2 linked regions of the Macaca mulatta genome follow. The protein of the gene in region 2 interacts with the protein of the main gene of each other region in a pairwise test. Links are inferred from orthologs where the notes say so. Each region holds a gene or a part of one and is shown on either strand. Other genes may lie near its edges.

Region 1 (4,010 bases), on a different chromosome or scaffold from region 2:
TTAACCAGATGCCTGCAAATACTCAGGTTTTCCTTCTACATATAGAAGACAACTTATCAGCTGCCAGGGCTGAAGCCAGCAGATATGGCTAAATGACAGAACAAAGGATTATGCCAATAAAGTATGCAAAGCTTCCTTGCCCAGAATATAAATCAAACAGAGTAAAAAGCGAGTATATTGGCTCCAGGAAAAGGAGCAAGGACAGCCAGTTTTCAGGCGACCTCGAATTCTCTCCGTTTAGGATTCACCAACCCTAAGGTCCACTGGGTCCTTCAATCTGAGGGTCCATCCAGGGCCTTCCCTCCTGGGGTTGGAGATGGCTAGCTGCCTGATGGAGAGACCCCAGGCTGCTCAGCAGCAACGCCTGGCACAGCCGAGACAGCCTCGTAGTCTGCGATGCGGCGCTGTACCAGGGCAGGCATGAGCTGCACGTAAGCGGCCATGAGGCGGTGGTTGGAATGGATCAGCTTCCCAGCACAGCTGTGCAGACAGGCCTCCTAGAAGGAAGATAGGGTTTAAGCGGAGGACAAAGGTGTCCTGTCGGGCCCGCCTCCTTCCTTCCCCATGCACAGCCTAGGGGTGAGGGTCTGGGAAGGCCAGGACCAGAGGTAGGGGAAGTGGGGTGAGGAGGGAAGCAGTCTACCGCTAAACTCTGTTTGCAGCGTAACCTCCTTACACAGTTCCCCACCTCCTCAGCGTCCAGAGCTCGGTGGTGCAAGCTGGGCACACAACGCTGGAAGCAGAGTTCTGTCATCCGATTGTAGACCAACAGGAAGTCACGCAGCTGGGAGAAAACCGGGACCACGAACTCAGCGATATGTGCCCCACACTTCTACTCAAGGTCGCGCAGCCCAAAGTTTCCCAGGCCCGCGCACCATAACCCGAAGTTTCCAGCCCTCAGATCCCTGGCTCTATGGGGTTTCCGCGATGTGTGCAGGAATGCGAGCTGAACGTCTGGCCCCGAAACGACTTAGTTCTCACTCACGTTTCTCAGTTGCTGTTGCTGCTGCTGCTGCTCCATCACGCCACCGGCGCATGCTCTACGCCACTTCCTTTTCAGCTTCTCGGTGCCGCCCCGGAAGTAACCTCTCGCTGCTCTCGAGAACCAAGCTAGAGTATCGCCCTGCCCCGGCTTCGACGTCACTTCCGCCCTTATAATCTGCGACGTGGCCGGCTTCTTCTGCCCGGAGAGGACGTCACTTCCGCCGAGTCCCTGACCTGCTGCTAGGATCGCGACGGGAACTGGAGCCCGAGGTCCCCGCGCGGCCCGGGCCTGGCGCCCTGAGGGGAAGAGCGGCCCGGCCCGAGGTGAGAGGGACATGCTTGGGCGACGGGAAGTTGAACGCACAAACCTGTCCAGAGGGCAAGATGCCCCGAGCCCTGGGGAAGAATGAGGACACACCTGATGTCCAGGTGTATGGGGGTGGGGGCGGGGACTCACATACCTGGGAGACTGACTGTGGAAGGGATCACCGATATCCTGGTAAAGACAGGCTTTTGCCAGAGACTGGGAACATACACCAACTGATCTAACTAAGGCCTGGTGGGGAGGGCCCAAGGAAGAGGAGTTGTATGAGACGTAGGAGGGGAGACCCCCTGAAGGAAGGGGGAAGAAACACTAAAGGAGTGAGAAAGGCCAAGCAATGGAGAACAAACCTGAATGGGGGGTGAAGACCTGAGCCCTGGAAAGGGTCCATCTCCTGCTCAGCATAAACACGCCTGCATGGAGATAAGTTCTAAGAGAGCTACTTTCCCTCTTCACTGTTGTATTTTCATTGTCACAAATAGTACCTGACACAGAGTAGGCACTCACTAAATGTCTGCTGAATGACTGAATGAGTGTAGAATAATCACCAGAGGCCTGGTGAGGTTGGGGGCTTGTGAGAAGACACCGTGCTTTGGTGTGCCTGTGTACAAATGTGCATTTTGGAGGGGAGAAATACATATACCTGAAGAAAGGAATGATGACCAAACGCTGGGACACTCAAACCCTGGGACAGCCTTTAAAGAAATGACAGAGGAGGCTTCCTTCTTCTAGAGTGCTGGCCAGTGCCCAGAACTTCTGTGTTGGGCTTTGCAGGGTGCTGGGGTGGAGAGTTTTACTCCAATACCTTTCCTAGCCATGACGGACGGGATCCTAGGGAAGGCAGCCACAATGGAGATCCCTATCCACGGGAACGGTGAAGCCAGGCAGCTTCCTGAAGATGATGGGCTGGAGCAGGTGCTTCTGTTTGATTCTTCTAATTGTTTCAATTTAGGAATCCAATTTATAAATCCTGGGTTCTCACCCTCCATTCCAGTAGCCTTCCCCTGAACTTATCTGACTCCCTTAATTTTACATATCATTTTGATTCTGTGCAGACTTCCCTTGTGTAGTGTCTTTATGATGCTTGAATCCAAACTTGTTCCCACCTCCAAAATGCTTCTGCAGTCCCTATGTTCCTGAAGCAACCCCTCTTCTCTGGCCTATAGGACCTCCAGCAAGTGATGGTGTCAGGACCCAACCTCAATGAAACCAGCATTGTGTCTGGTGGCTATGGGGGCTCTGGTGATGGACTCATCCCCACAGGTATGAACAGAAACAGGAAGCTTGGGTGGAGGAGGGGACAGGAATGGTTTGGGGAAGCATAGGATATGTCTAGGAAAGCTTGAATAATGTCTGGAGATCTTAGGAACTTCTGCTTGTAGGAATCCCATGGACTCTCCTCAGCCCAAAAGCAACTCCCAGCATTGTCCATCCATTTCCCTTTTGCCACTTGGCCCCTGAAATGGCTCATTCGTCCTTTCCCTGCCACCACCTGAGTCAAGTTAAGACCTACTTCACAGGAATGCCCCCGCTCTACAGCTTGAGGCTGAGTTGGAACTTTGTGAGGCTTTTCAGAATTTTTAGATTCTAAAGTTTAGAGGAACAAACAGCCCTGAATCTCACACTAAGATTCCACATGGGAATGCAACCAGGTTTCTTGTTATCATGACCCACCATCCTTGACTCCTGCTGCCCCCAAACTCAGTGTATTTTCTTCTGTTTCCTCTGCCCCTATACACCAACAACTCCCTGCAAACCCCTCCTCTGGCCTCCAAGGAGGCCATATGTATATCAGGATTTGGTTATCACTGTGCAAGGTCCGAGTTCCTCCTAGTAAACAGGAGAATCCAGTTGTCTCTAGCATCTCCTTCAGGGAAGTCAATTTCATGTGCTGGGAGAGAAGCATGGGTGGGGCCACAGAGGTGTCTGGTGTATCTGAGAGAGGCTGGTGTCAGAGAACTTGATCCTTTAGGGTCTGGCCGCCATCCATCTCACAGCACCACTCCTGCTGGCCCTGGAGATGAGGTGGCTCGGGGCATTGCTGGAGAAAAGTTTGACATCGTCAAGAAATGGGGCATCAACACCTATAAGGTAGGATTTGAGCACCTCTCACTTCCCCAAAACTCGTTATGGGTACCTTTTTCCCCTTTCCTCATGATCGTAATATCCCATCTGTGGCTGAGAGTAGGAGCCTGGGTGGCGTTGGGGTAGATACCTGTTGTGTCGGGAGGCTATTAGGGTCTCTGATCTATTGCCCCGTTTCCCAATCAGTGCACAAAGCAACTGTTATCAGAACGATTTGGTCGAGGCTCACGGACTGTGGACCTGGAGCTAGAGCTGCAGATTGAGTTGCTGCGTGAGACGAAGCGCAAGTATGAGAGTGTCCTGCAGCTGGGCCGGGCACTGACAGCCCACCTCTACAGCCTGCTGCAGACCCAGCATGCACTAGGTGATGCCTTTGCTGACCTCAGCCAGAAGTCCCCAGAGCTTCAGGTGCCTCACCCAGACCAAAGAGGGTGGGGGAACTGGGCATGGGCCCTCCCAGGCAGTCATTCGTCATCCTCCCTCCCTCCTGCAGCCCACAGGGAGAACCCCTTCAGGGTGGGCCCAGCCCTACCCCCAGCAGCACTCACCTGTGGAGGCAGCCTAAGGGTTTGTACAGAGGTCCAGAAGTTGGAGGGGGTGGGGGAGGGGGCACACTAGG
Region 2 (2,643 bases):
AGAGAATGCTGAGGGAGAAAACCCATGACAGAGCTCCAGGGGGCCCTCTGACTTACAGGTTAGAAGAGGAAAAGCCATGAGATGGAGTGGAGGATGAGGTAGAGATGAAACCAGAAGTTCCAGGTCTTAGAAGCCAAGAGAGAGTCCAGCTGTGCTGAATGATGCTCAGACGGTGATTAGGTCACTGGTGAACTCAAGAGCAAGAAAGCAGTCTGGGGATGGAAATGGTGGTGGAGAGGGTTAGGAAGAGAACTACGGTGGGGCGAGGTGAGAAACTGGAAAGAGTCACTGCAGACACCTCTTTTCAGAAGTGTTTGGGTGAAGGGAAGCAAATAAACATACAGAGCAGTACATAGAGAGGTATAAAAAAATGAGTTTTTTTTTAAAAAGGGGAAATAACAGGATGTTTTATGCTAATGGGAAAGATCCACTAGAGAAAGAGGATTCACAGGGGCCATACCCTTAAGGTGGCAAGTACACTACACTGACCTGTCTCATCTGTAACTGCACAATCTAGTTCCTTTGCTAGATCTATTTCCTGTGATTCTCAGATGCTGGCATCTTTCAGGGCCCCAAACCCAGCCTCCTGCTCCCCTCTCTCTCCACAGCCTCCCTGGTGGATCTTATCAACTCCCATGATTTCAAATGCTTCTGGCATATCAACATCCAGATCTTTATCTCCCATCTAAACTTGTCCTCAGCAGTGCAGACGCTGAACATTTATTTCCAATGGATATTCCATGGGCACCACGCACGAAAGCCAGTCCCTTGCCCTCCCTGCCTCTCTCCTCTGCATAAGTGCTGAGCAAGAGAGGACTGCTTGCTAAGGTTCTTTAGCCTACCCCGCTTATTCACTGCCAGCCTGACTTTACACACCACCAGCCCCTTGGCTAAGAGGGGCTACCAGCCTAGTAAATAACCAGCCCAGTTGGATGGCAAAACCAGTCTATCAATCCAGGTAAGTTTGACCCCTAAATCCATGCTTCTACACATTTCCCTTAAAGAAAGTTCCTGCAGTTACTTTATTTTCAACATGTATCATAAAATCCTTCTTTCAATTAGTACACAGCTATTCACATTTAAGTCAGCAAGATAAGTATCACTTTATGATAATACATATTCATATGAGAAAAAAGTCTAGCAAAGTGGTTTATTCTCACAACTTATCACTGGAGGAAGTCCTTCAAACAAACTAGTGCAGAGAAAATGCCTATCAAAAGTATTGGTTTTTCAGCTTTCTTCACCACTGCTTTAGATGTATCATTTTTATAATTTTATCTCTTCATGTTTTTAAAGAGCTGCTACTTCAGATGACAGTAACTCTTTGGTGTTTATTTTTATTTCCAAGATTGTGATTTTTTAAGAGGCTACTTTAAGGCTGTGAATTGTCTCACTGTCTTTTCACTCTCTCTTTTTAGTTCTTCAATATGGGCATCCAAGCGCTCTAGAATGTGATGAGACCTCAGTTCCTCCTCTTCCAAAAATCTAGTAGCTATTGAACCAAGGGGAGAAACAGGCAAGGAACACTGGAAGAGAGACAAATTTTGACATGTGTAAATAAGTAGAATATTATATTTCTAAGACACACTGTTCATGACATTTTCTAACTAGCAATATTAAAAGCTGATTGTTTTCCTTTGAAGAGACTTTTTTGGTTTTCATCCTAATAAGAGCAATAAAAGAACAAAACTCAGTAAATTCTGTAAAAATTAACACAGATCTGTCCCTTTCTGACCCAAGTTGTAATCATGTAAAGTATCATATATTAGTTATTGGTCTGAAGAACGTTTCAGTTTAGACTTATATATCCTTCCATAGTTAATGCCTATTATTTCAAACTCACTTTAAAAACCTGAGTATGTCACTTTCATTTTAAAGCACAGACAATTTAACAAAAATAAATTAGATGCCAGCTAAAATCAATATTTTTTCTCCTCCAAATTTTCAGTCCACAGTCCCTTATCTGAAACCCTTGAGGCTAGCGATGTTTCAGAATTCTGATTTTTAGAAAGGTAGTACAGAACATATGCCATATGCAGTCAATACTCATTCACAACAGCAGTCGTATTCTATAAAGTCACCCAGAACACTGAATTAGCAAACACAGAATTTTTGGCCCAGGGAAATATACACATACAACAAATACACACACACACATACACACACCCCACACAGAGAGTACAATCCTAAATCCTAGAACAACTCATTCTGGTGGATTCTGTATTTTTTATTTCACATGAGAGACATGAGGATCAGAAGTGGTAACTCTCCTGAGGCCGCCCCACTAACTGGTGCCGAGGCTGGAATTCAGACTCTACTCATTCCTCTGTCTGGCATGGAGCTGAGCTTCTTCCCTACACTGCGCTGTCCCATCCATCTCCACCCTCTGGTGGAGATGCCTACTTCAACCTTGGCTTAGATTGTGCAAGTCGGCACTCAAATTTTTGGCCACTCTGTATATGTCCACGAATGACTGTGGAAGTGCTCTGCGCATACTGATTTGGGAGTTATAAAGCTGAGGGAGTAGACAAATTCACAGATACAGAATCTGTGAATAATGAGGATCAACTGTATTACCCCAGTGGAGTCTGAGGGAACATCCCATAACCAAACACATTGATATTTCTGAAGCAAAACACATGG

The links.
Region 1: the proteins of CEP63 (region 2) and ARFIP2 interact in binary tests that used the Homo sapiens proteins (3 or more experiments, as listed by UniProt). The link is inferred for Macaca mulatta from reciprocal best matches to the Homo sapiens genes CEP63 and ARFIP2.

Annotation. Positions count from the first base shown.
Region 1 is NC_133419.1:59,303,586-59,307,595, forward strand, and holds the start of ARFIP2 (arfaptin-2), read left to right. Parts: upstream 1-1,198; 5' UTR 1,199-1,308; intron 1,309-2,080; exon of another isoform or gene 2,081-2,120; 5' UTR 2,121-2,122; coding exon 2,123-2,221; intron 2,222-2,472; coding exon 2,473-2,569; intron 2,570-3,278; coding exon 3,279-3,397; intron 3,398-3,577; coding exon 3,578-3,799; intron 3,800-4,010. Other genes in the region: TIMM10B (mitochondrial import inner membrane translocase subunit Tim10 B), read right to left, coding at 321-497, 689-784, 986-1,021. UniProt on the Homo sapiens protein: Plays a role in constitutive metalloproteinase (MMP) secretion from the trans Golgi network. May have important functions during vesicle biogenesis at certain cargo subdomains, which could be predominantly utilized by secreted MMPs, such as MMP7 and MMP2.
Region 2 is NC_133407.1:37,602,712-37,605,354, reverse strand, and holds part of CEP63 (centrosomal protein of 63 kDa), read right to left. Parts: intron 1,527-2,643; coding exon 1,368-1,526; 3' UTR 1-1,367. UniProt on the Homo sapiens protein: Required for normal spindle assembly.